Xenopus tropicalis: one gene and its partners. The protein of the gene in region 1 purifies or fractionates together with the protein of each later gene. This does not show direct contact. Links are inferred from orthologs where the notes say so. Each region holds a gene or a part of one and is shown on either strand. Other genes may lie near its edges.

Region 1 (4,087 bases):
TGAACATGAAGCAGTGAAAGGTAGAACTCCACCAATAACCATACTTAGTCAAATTACATTTCATGTTATCAGAAGCTGTGACAGGCAGACATACTGTAGCTGTTTTAACCATTGCTGGTTTTCCCTGACCACAGTGTCAGCATAACCCCCCACATCCTACCCATGTGATGTAGCACTTAAGGTAGACATACACTGTAAGATCCACTCCTTTGGCGAGGTTACCAAGTGAGTGGATCTTCTCCTGATATGCCCACCTACGGGAGGGCTATATATGGGGCTAATTCGTTTGCATTAAAACGGCGGGCATAGCCGCTGTCTGTTCGGGGACCACATCAACGAGCTGATGTGGTCCCTGATCCGACCGAAAAATCAAACCTGCCAGTTCGAGATCTGGCTGATTTCATGCCAAATGTCGGTCCAGGAGGACCATCATTGGTGCCCATACACAGGCAGATAAGCTGTTGAATTGGTCTAAAGGATCGATATCAGCAGCTGAAATTGGCCCGTGTATGGCCACCTTTAGGGGAATTGCAGATTGGGTGATGTCAGAAAACTTTACACTTCATGGGTAACAAAGCATCCAAAAACACATTTGAACTGCACCATATGTAACTCATCACAGATAAAACTCTCTTTTTTTAATTTATTTATTTATTTTTTTAACTGCTCCAAAATGTTCTGTTCTGCATGTTTGCTGAACAAAGTAAGAAGTCCCTTTTACAAGCGGCAATTTACAGAGGACGTTATTCGGTTGTATTTCTGGTTGCTTTGCTGCTGTGAGGAGAATGATTTCATGTGGGCAACAAAATGCCCTCATCTGCCATTGGGCGGTAACATCAACAGGAGAGCACTAATAACTGATGTGTTGTGAAAAAAGCACTTCTCCACATGACAGTATCCCTTTAAAATACAGACATAAGGGTAAATTTGCAGCCTCTCTTTACTGCTGCCTTGCAAAGGGATGTCAGTAAAACCGCCTCCCTCAGCTAATGTGAACAGAGCCTCATCTGTTCAGCCTGCCCTCAGAACAAAGGACAGGCAAGAAGAATACAACTCTCCCAGACACCTGTCCGGAAGAAATCTGCTGTTTTAACGGATAGGAGCTCCAGATTTCTATCCTGCTAATGCTACCCAGCTTATGGCTAATAATAACATGCTGGTGTATTTTAATGGATTGAGAAGAGGCCAAAACTGCCCATGGTGGCTCCAATTTATGTTGCAGTTTATGGTTTTAACTGCAGCTGCAGTCCAGCCTTGAAATGCCCACGTCAGCCTGTCATTATTCTGATTAAATCAAGTAAAATAAGCTGTGGCTGAAACATACAAGAAGCGTTCATGTGAGTATTTCAAGACACGGTGGTCCAAGTTTTATTGCTCCATGTACACCATTCAAGCTTCCTCTAAGTTAATATTACAAGGATATTTTAGCTTCTGTGGACTCCTGGAGGAAAAAAGACTGTGGGGCTCAGTTATCAAAAAAACAAAAAAAAACTATTTGCACCAGGGCAGAAACCCACTGCAACCACGGTGACTTTTTCAACTAGGAGCAATAACAGCAAAAGTAAGGTTGGCCATACACAAGCCAATAAAAGCTGCTGACTTGGTCCTTCCAACAGGCCTGACCGACCAATATCTGGCTAAATTGTTAGATTCACATCTGCTTATTGATGCAGCCCACATCCTGATTTACACAGTTTTGATAAGTGACCCCATTGTGTCCGAATACTGCTAATATATACAAAACTGATAAATTACCTGCCTACTTTCTAAAACAGTACAGGTGACTATTAAAATGCTGCAATGCACATTTTTGGCCTCAATGCATCCACCGGTCATTGTGCACACAGGGTGTATTTAACTTAGGTACATATTTTCGTGCATCATTTCTTTCCAGTGTTTGCAGTGACAGGCGGATGTCACTCATGTCACTAGTTAGAGAAAAGAAGTTTGGTGTGTTAATGAAGTATTTTCCACCAGGGCAAAACTTACAGCATTTAAACAAGTTTTGCTTAGTAAGGCAAAGAAAGCAATCATAATTAACAAAATTCTGGATAGTGGCTGAACTGATTCATTGAGGTCTTGGGTTGATAAATATTTTTACCTTAAGAATGTCTACTAATAGAAATACATAAAATCCTACAAATAAGAACACCTGTGTGAAATATAATTTGAATAATTGTGAACACATATCAATCATATGGCCCCCAACATTTATTGCAAATAATCATAACCTGGCCACACTATTCCACACCTAGAAAAATGCATAACTGTCTATGTAAAAGCAAATTACCACCATTTCATTTTCTGGAAAAAGAAAACTTCTGTGTGCACTATCTATATCTTGTGAAACCTTTTTTTCACAGAACTACTGTATTATCCGAGTTTGGAGATAGCGCTGGTGGTGCACCTAGACATTCTATCCAAGCGTTCTGATCTTACTTTGCAGACTTCTTTGTTCTTAACTAGAACTGGGTTCACTTTCTAACGAATAGTCATTCCATGTCTAAATTAATCGATCAAGAACACGAAAACGGTACAGTATTACGAACATCGAACAACACTCGATCACAACTTTTGTTTCTTACTTCTGCAGAAAAACTACTCGTTTTTCACGGCACAGTCCCCTCCTAAACAAACAATTCGTACATACCACCACCCAGGTTCACATGCACTTTTAATTTTTTGAGCAACTAAATTACTCCTCACAAATAAAGGGTTACTTACCAGTTACTTCACAAATCATCCCAAAACCTCAGCCATTTTGAGCTTTGGGCTTATATGACTTGTAGATTCCCGGATGTAACTTTTCCCCCTTCACAACCTCCGGTTCCTCCCACTGTCAACTGCCGGCTGCCCGCCTACACGCAAGAGCGTTTTGACTTCATCACGGAACAGTCACGTCGGAGTCACGTGATGCTGACGCCACAAATGTGCATTTCTTCACTAGGAAGTGGTTTGAAGTACTGTACGGAGCAGCCAAATCTGTTTGTTTTGGTGCCTTGAACGCCTTTTGTAGGTGTCGTTGGTCGTTATTTGAAAGTAAGTCACTTTTACTTCCCTATACTTTTTTCTTCCCTATACTTTTTTCTTCCTACTTGTACTGTGTCCAAACTTCATTTTTACGTATTTGGTTTCTGCTTAGGGTCTAGGTCATCTGGGGGTTCCGAAAATAGTCTTGCAGGCTGGGTGGATAAATCTTCTTAGATAACTGTTTCAACTAGAGGTTTGGGAAAGGAGGTTTTCAACTAAATACACAGAACAGATATGGTTACTGTTTAAAATTATATCAGATTACTACCACTACTTTTAAAGGAATTGTTCAGTGAAAAAACTGGGTAGATAGGTTGCGCAAAATAAAAAAAAATGTTTTCAATATACTTAGCCAAAAATATAATCTTTAAATACTGGGGTGAGCAGATGTCTAGCCAGAACACTACTTCCTTCTTTGCATCTCTCTAACCTGTTAAAAGTTGGTAGCCAATCAGTGACTTAAGAGAAGGTGGGGGGCAAGTTTGACCTTAATGCCTATATATAACCTGCCTAACTTTTAGTTGGTCCAGAGGAAGGCAAAAAAATCCATAAACCCCTGATGCCTCTCTAATTTGCCACAGAGGGTGAAAGAAAATTCCTTCCTGACTCCAAGATGGGAATCGGACCAGTCCCTGGATCAACTTGTACTAAGAGCTATCTCCCATAACCCTGTATTCCCTCACTTGCTAAAATGCCATCCAGCCCCTTATCAGTTGTATCAGTATGACTGGGAGGGAGTTCCACAACTTCACAGCTCTCACAGTAAAAATTCCTTTCTGAATATTTAAACAGGACCTCCCGTATTCTAAACCGGGTCGGTGTCCCTGTGTCCGTTGAAAGGACCTACTGGAAAATAAAGTATTTGAGAGGTTATTATATTATCCCCATATATATATATATTTTTTTTTTTTTATTTATGCATTTATAACATATAACAACATGAAACATTGACACTGGTTCTACAAGCGTGTTTTTGGTCAGGATATATACAGTACATTGGTTTAAATAATCAGTGATATCCTACTCGAGGTAATGTTCAACTTCTGTTAAAGAAGGG
Region 2 (3,655 bases), on another chromosome or scaffold:
AATATTTAAATTATTTTTAGCAGACTTAAGTTATGGAGATCCAAGTTATGGAAAGATCCCTTTTCCGGAAAACCCCAGGTCCTGAGCATTCTGGATAACCGGTCCCATACCTGTACTTGCAAGATATTCCCCTTGCATAATAGAATTCTATTTATTTGTCCTTAGGTAATCTGTGAGTAAAACAGTAGCCAAAAGTATGTTTAGGACAATCCTTGTTTATTAAACTCATGTTGGAAAGGGGGTATACTGTTATTTAACGTCACCACCTTCCCAACATCATTGCAACTTGTCTGTTGACAAAATATGGCTCCAATAGCTATGCAGTTTAACAAACTTACTCCAGAGGGTCTCTAGCTCATCTTGAAGTGTTGTTAAAAGCATGTAAGCAACTTGGGATAAATCTGGCATACAAGAAGAAAATTGCCTGCACTGTGTCCAATTATACTTTTCTTTAGTCTTGTTTACAACTCTTTTTCAAAATCCATGAGGCGCACAAACCTTTACAAGGCACAATACAAGGCAGGCATAAGGCAGTATAAATGCCTGCTCCCTGCAAGCTCTCAGCCTTTGTGTCTTGCAGTCTTGCTATGAGTTGTTTCTCAGAAAAGTTATATCAACACGGGAGCACTTACCGCCACTCATCCACGTGTGCTACTCACGGACCAACTCCCAATGGCCCCAAACAAGTAGATAACATCCAGAAAAAGCGGAGCACCACGTGGTGAAAAATAAAATCAGTCTTTACATGTACCGTTTTAATGTGACTAAATAAAGACTGATTTTATTTTTCACCACGTGGTGCTCCACTTTTTCTGGATGTAATCCGTGTTTTCTGCCTCCATCCTACTGACCTTAGTTATGTGTGCATACCTGCTTATGTGCTGCTGTTCTTCTAAGCATCGGTGAAGGAAATGCTATAGCAGTATCTGGCATTCTAAAGCTGGTAGAGCACACTGTAATAGATTGATCTAGTCCATCACAAGTTTCATTTTTTAACATTTAATTAAATCAGCTTTAGTAATTTTGTTCATCTTGTAAAAAAGCACTGTGTACTATGTTGTTTTTCAGGCTGTAGAAAATTTATGCTCCTATAAAGTTTCTCATACCCTTTACAAACAACTTCGTCAAGTATGTGAAGAACATATGAAAGCTCAAATCCATCAGTTCAGGGAATATCCTTTTCTTAAAGACTTATATAGAATTCTAAGGGCCACACTAAGTTTGACCCTTTTTATTAATTTGTTCTACTATAACTGATAAATGCAATGTGCTGACATTTTAAAAGAATGTGTATTACAGAACCCTTAACTTCTGATATGTGTGCACAGATTCTCTAGACAGCTTTTTATTTTTAAAAAAGGTTAACAGATGTTGGAAGGATCACTGCCGACAAATGGTAAGTGTACCATTGCTTTTGTTTGTGTTCTGTGAAATTCCATAAGTAAGGGTAAAGTTGGTGTGGGTACTGATTGAAAACAATGTTTAAAAAAAGTGTGTATTTATGAAATTAAAACTTTAGCTGTCATAAAGGTTTTGTGTGTGTGTGTGTGTGTGTGTATATATATAAAAATATAAGAAACAAAAATCCAGACTCGTTTAAATGAAAAAAGAAAAAATCTTTACTGCATTGTGCATAATAATTGCATTACTTACAACGTTTCAAGGCTCCCGCCTGTTTATCAAGTAGCAAGATGTATATATAGATATGTATGTAAAGAAGCAGAGAGCCGCACACACAGGGACTTTGCAAAAAGATAAAGCATTTATTGAAAAAGATCCAACGTTTTGAGCACTAACGGTGCTCTTCTTCAGGGAAAAACCAGATAGATATGTATGTATGTATGTATGTATATATAGATATACAGGTACGGGATCCCTTATCCGGAAACCCATTATCCGGAAAGTTCCGAATTACAGAAAGGCCATCTCCCATACACTCCATTATAAGCAAATAATTCTAATTTTTAAAAATGATTTCCTTTTTCTCTCTAATAATAAAAACAGTACCTTGTACTTGATCCCAACTAAGATATAATTAATTCTTATTGGAGGCAAAACAAGCCTATTGGGTGTATTCAATGTTTAAATGATTTTTAGCAGACTTAAGTTATGGAGATACAAATTAAAAAAAATGAAAAATAAAAACCTGCTACAGGAATGCCATCCTATCTTTATCTAAGTGCTTTAGTTAAAGGAAATCTATACTTCCAGAATGAAAACTTAACCAACAGTTGATTTTATGTTAAGTGACCTAGTAAGAATCTTGCCAAACTGGAAATATATGTTAGTAAACATTGCCCTTTTACATCCTTTCCCTTGATCCACCATTTAGTGATGGGCTGTGTGCTCCCTCAGAGATCACGACCCTTAATTCTTAAAATGGCAATTTTCTATTTAGGAGTACACAATGGTACATACTACTAAAAATATATTTTTACAAAAATGGTTTATTTAGATAAAGCAGGGTTTTACATATAGGCTTGTATATGCAATATATTTTTATAGAGACCTCCATTATTTGGGGGTATAGTTTTCCTTTAAATACAAAGGGAGAAAAATGTGGGTCCCTTAAGCATAATAATATGTTATCTCTGTTCTGCTTTTCTCCTCTGTAGCCCAACACCCACACCAAAAAACACTTTTGGAATTTGTATGGTTTTAGTATAATGCAGATATAAGCAAGGCAGTTAAGAGTGGGTAAGGTCAAGAAAATAAAAGAAACTGCCCTTTTTCCACACTACATAAAACTGATTTTCTTATGTATTTTATGGATGTTACATGTAGTAAACAAGTTTTCTGGTTATTTGTGGTTTAAGTCAGGCCTGGACTGTCAATCTGTGGATTCTGGCTAATGCCAGACTGGCTGCTGTAAGATGCAAAAGACAGTCATTATTAAGTGAGCTGGTAGGAGGCTCTTTGTGCATTTGAAAGGCTTTTGTCTATTTTGAATTCTATTCCAGGCCTGGGTTACATTATAGGCCTGTACAAGATTAAGTATATTCATTTTTGCTGAAATAGTTCTATTAAACTTACTAGTGTATACACATATATTACCTATTATATATTAGGCATTGTAATATTATACTCTTCAACACAACTTTAACACAACTACTTAAGACCCAAACTTGAATTTTTAAAATAAAGAACCCTGGGTAAACTGGAAATTTGAATATTACTGGAAATGTTTTAGCTTAATTTTTACTTAAATTTTCTCTTTCTCTTTAGATCATGATCAGAAGTATTTTTTTATTTTTGGATCGTACTTATGTCCTTCAGAACTCAATGCTTCCATCAATATGGTGCGTTTATAGTATGTGTGTGTGTGTATATATAATACAGTAATATATATATATATATATATATATATATATAAATCTCATTAGCAGATTGACACAGTGGCTTTACCTTTACATACGTTGTTTAGAAGTATGTTATATTTACTGTCTGATCTATTGACAAACATTCCAACTAAGGAATGTACTGGAATTTATGTAAAACAGTGTTTGCAGCAGCAAAAATGCTTACTGGATAAATTTGGCCTAGTTCACACTAGTATGTAATATTCTTTCTCTGCACAGGCTGTTATCAAATGTACGAGTTTTGTCTTTTTTTTTTTTTGCTACATGTTTTTTGCCACTTACAACTGACCATATAT
Region 3 (3,655 bases), on another chromosome or scaffold:
TAATGCTGAGTTTTGCCTCCCTAAACAGCAGCTGTTTCATGCAAATGCTGTTGAGACATAAGGTTGCCATTTCCCATTCAACAGAATGTATTACTTGCCACTCTTCTGCTTAGGAGGGCCACGGCAGACCACTGTATAACATAACCCGTAAGGTCTCTAACATTCTGTTTCACAATATTATTACTGCAAGTAGCTGCAACAAACAAAGTTAATTTTCTATACAACTTTACCTTGGAGCACATGGGTGTTTGTATTGGGCTGTTTTATTAATATGGTCCACATAATACACTCCAAATTCTGCTGATTCAACTCTCTCCCAACCAGGGGGCAATCCTTCCCTTTCAAGTGGATGGCTCCAATGGGTAGTGTTTGTATTGTGATCTATGTAGTATTTCCTTCCTCTTATAGTCCAGTCCACTGTCCAGCCAGGTGGCAGAGGCATATCTTCAGTACTATGATTTGTTAGATTTCCTAGTGACGTAGCAGCAACTCTACCAATACCTAAAATAGTAAAGCAAATATTAACTGTGCATTGTCATTGTGTCCTAAGATATCATTTGATAAATAACATTAATCCATACATGAAGGGGAATTCAGCGACACAAGGATCCCCAGTTCACCAAAATATTTTTTTTTATTTCCCTTTAATTGCTACTAAGAAAGCCACTCAGCTTCCCTCTACTTTACATCTGGCACATGCCTCCAAATGACTGAGTAGGACACTCAATTTATTATTGAATAAACCTCTCTGTCTCAAGTCTTGGCTCACATTGAAAAAGTCAAAATTACATAAATACGGGGGGGGGCACATATAAGAAAGAACAGCTGTAATGGCAAATACACGTGTATGCATTTATAATATATGTATTTAAGTTTTTCCTTGCATTGTGTCATAGAGACAAAGTAATGAAGCAACAACACATTTGGGTGCTATTGGCCTACGTATGTGACACAGGGATCCCAAATCACCAAAATATGTTTGCAATGTGGAATGGAAATGAAGCACAAATTTCTTTGTTATCCTGTTTCTGGCAAGATTCTGGTACGATTTTGAGGGGTCCCATAAACAACTATACAGGAAATTCAGAGATCTAAACTAAAAGGACCCATGACATGCCATGGGAGGGAGGACAGCTCTAACTGCCAGACATGATGAGTGATGGAAAGGGACCCATAAGAATGTAACAGTTCAAAAAAAAAAAACGAACAAAAAGAAAAGATCCTATAGGGATGTAGATATGGTTATAATGGGATAAAGTCGTAGTAAAAAGTCTGATATCTGCAAGCCATTACATCTTGTCTCTCGTACATGAAGGCCTTTCAAAGAAAAGCGTAGTAAATGTAAAGAATATTACATATAAAAGGTAACTGTTGTATGCCTTAAAAGACAAGTGGTCTAATCATGAATAAGAACAACCACTGTTTTACCTGAAATGAAGCAGAGCAATGCCAGTACAGGTATCAGACCCATTATCTGGAAATCCATTATCCATAAGTTGGGAGATCCAAATTACAGAAAGACCCCTTATCCAGAAAACCCCAAGTCCCAAGCATTCTGCATAATGGGTCACATACCTGTACCAGATATAGTTTCAGACATGAATTTTTTTTTCTTCAAAACTACATGAATTTATACTTTATTTCACATTGTATTTAGATATTGGAAAGCTTACTTTTCTGTGACAACAGTATCTCTTTTAGGAAAAAAGCTTAATCAGAATCTTGCAAAGCTTAACACACTCAAGGACAGTTGGTTATATGGCATCAAACAAGCAACTCTATAACATTTTTGAGAAAGGGAGAAAAACAAACAAGCCAAATCTTGTCAAATAACGAGCAGCTTGCCTTGGAACAGTTTCTCTGGGCAGATAAAATGTTTGCATTCTGTCACTAAATCTGTTCTCAGTAACGTTTTACTAAAGATATGATAAGCCATGACGGTCCAAACTTCAATAAATGGAAGTGCATTCAGTCATCATTCATTCAGTCAACTGTACAATGGGGGTGTGTTATTTTAAAGGAGACATACTGTGTGTCCTTTTCCAAGATGTGGAGAGGGCCGGTGGCACACCGTACTGTAGGATATGAACCACTTTGCAGCCAAACGCACCTGACAGTGAACTGACGCCTACCTTTGCTTGCGTGACTGCAGGGCTGTGATTGGCTATCCACCTCCTACTGTCCTTCTAGCGGGGGCCGTTAGGACAGGCTCATCCCTCATTTAAAACACGGACAGGGACTAGAGAGTGCAAACAGTACAGGGATCATATTAGGTCCACACAGAAACATTACAGATGGCTTCACCTACCAGCTGGGTGCCTGCCAGGTGCCTGTACAATCCTCTGGACATGGTCATTGCTGTTCTCATAATATCTGTAGTCTTCATGTACACGATCCCCAACTTGTCTTCTCCTCTGTCCATCATATTGAAAATCTGAGCAAAAATATCTGCTGTTCACATCTCCATTTTCCATAACTGCACTGGAATCTGTTAAAAATGACTGAGATGAGGAGGCATATTCCCTGGGAACATCACTTAGTCCCCTTACTAAGTAGGGAGGTGCAGAAAGTCTATTGCTTTCTCTGCGCAAAATTTCTTGTGGAGCTCTCTGAACTGGTGTTCGCAAAAAGCTTTGGTTCCTAGAAACAGCTCCATCTCCTGGGGGGGTGTAGGGCGTAGTATTTGTCTCTGGTGGGCAGATATCAGTCCGTCTCGGTATAGTTGGCCCATGGCGGATAAAAGAAGGCATCAGATCTGAAAGAAGAACAAACCGTGATTAAATAGTTTCTCAAAGATATATTCCAATTAATGAATATTTCATTATATAGAAAATTTCCAAGTATATTGTTTGTTCATTATAGTGCAAAGCAAATGCAATTATTGTGGGGGTGTACTTACGTTACACTTTATGGGCACTCTAATAAGGGAGGAGGGGGAGGGAAGCGAATGAAACATATATTTACAGGAATGGATGTTAGCATATTTGGCAAAAGCGGGCATACTGAGGCATTGGCTGAGGATCAGTGGTTCCCAAACTCTGGGACTGGCCTACTTTGGGGACTTAAGCCAAAGTTCATTTATTGAGAGCTATGTGGAGAATTACTATTTACTTAATACTCCTGAACCCCAAGTTTGAACACTAATTACAGAGAGATCTGGGATAAATCCTTATTTGATGTCCAATACATTATTAAAACTATGATTGAAAAAACTGTTTCTCAATCCTTGTTGTGAGTTAAGATGTGCCCTGACCAAATGCTTAACCTCAAAGGGGACCTTAATCCGAGCATTCTGAGAAATCAGTGCTGTAAAATATGGCAAGAGCACCATTTTTTTTTTTTTTTACTAGCAGAGCCAATATGCTAAGGAAGTGGGTAAATGAAACTGGGTAAAATGGACTGACTGCACAAAAAAAAAAATATTTGTAATTAGGCAAAAACGTAATTTATAAAGGCTGGAGTGGGCAGATATCTAACATAATGGCCAGAATTCTACTACTGCTTTCAGCTCTCTAACTGCTTCATTAGTCAGGACATTTAGGGGGGGCAATATCTGTTCAGTTAGTTTGTGAGCATGCAGGTCAGATTCAGATGCATACGAACTGAACAGTTATGTCCCATATGCCTCCCCCCTCAAGTCACTGATTAGCTACTG

What was found. The genes of interacting proteins can lie anywhere in the genome.
Region 2: the proteins of lats1 (region 1) and cul4a purify together in Homo sapiens (affinity purification with western blotting; 3 studies listed by BioGRID). This does not show direct contact. The link is inferred for Xenopus tropicalis from reciprocal best matches to the Homo sapiens genes LATS1 and CUL4A.
Region 3: the proteins of lats1 (region 1) and sav1 purify together in Homo sapiens (affinity purification with western blotting; 3 studies listed by BioGRID). This does not show direct contact. The link is inferred for Xenopus tropicalis from reciprocal best matches to the Homo sapiens genes LATS1 and SAV1.

What each region holds. Positions count from the first base shown.
Region 1 is NC_030681.2:58,191,834-58,195,920, reverse strand, and holds the start of lats1 (serine/threonine-protein kinase LATS1), read right to left. Parts: upstream 2,828-4,087; 5' UTR 2,725-2,827; intron 1-2,724. UniProt on the Homo sapiens protein: Negative regulator of YAP1 in the Hippo signaling pathway that plays a pivotal role in organ size control and tumor suppression by restricting proliferation and promoting apoptosis.
Region 2 is NC_030678.2:116,025,223-116,028,877, reverse strand, and holds part of cul4a (cullin-4A), read left to right. Parts: intron 1-1,068; coding exon 1,069-1,172; intron 1,173-1,326; coding exon 1,327-1,396; intron 1,397-3,225; coding exon 3,226-3,299; intron 3,300-3,655. UniProt on the Homo sapiens protein: Core component of multiple cullin-RING-based E3 ubiquitin-protein ligase complexes which mediate the ubiquitination of target proteins. As a scaffold protein may contribute to catalysis through positioning of the substrate and the ubiquitin-conjugating enzyme.
Region 3 is NC_030684.2:93,078,991-93,082,645, forward strand, and holds part of sav1 (protein salvador homolog 1), read right to left. Parts: intron 2,756-3,655; coding exon of another isoform or gene 2,751-2,755; coding exon 2,309-2,750; intron 502-2,308; coding exon 231-501; intron 1-230. UniProt on the Homo sapiens protein: Regulator of STK3/MST2 and STK4/MST1 in the Hippo signaling pathway which plays a pivotal role in organ size control and tumor suppression by restricting proliferation and promoting apoptosis.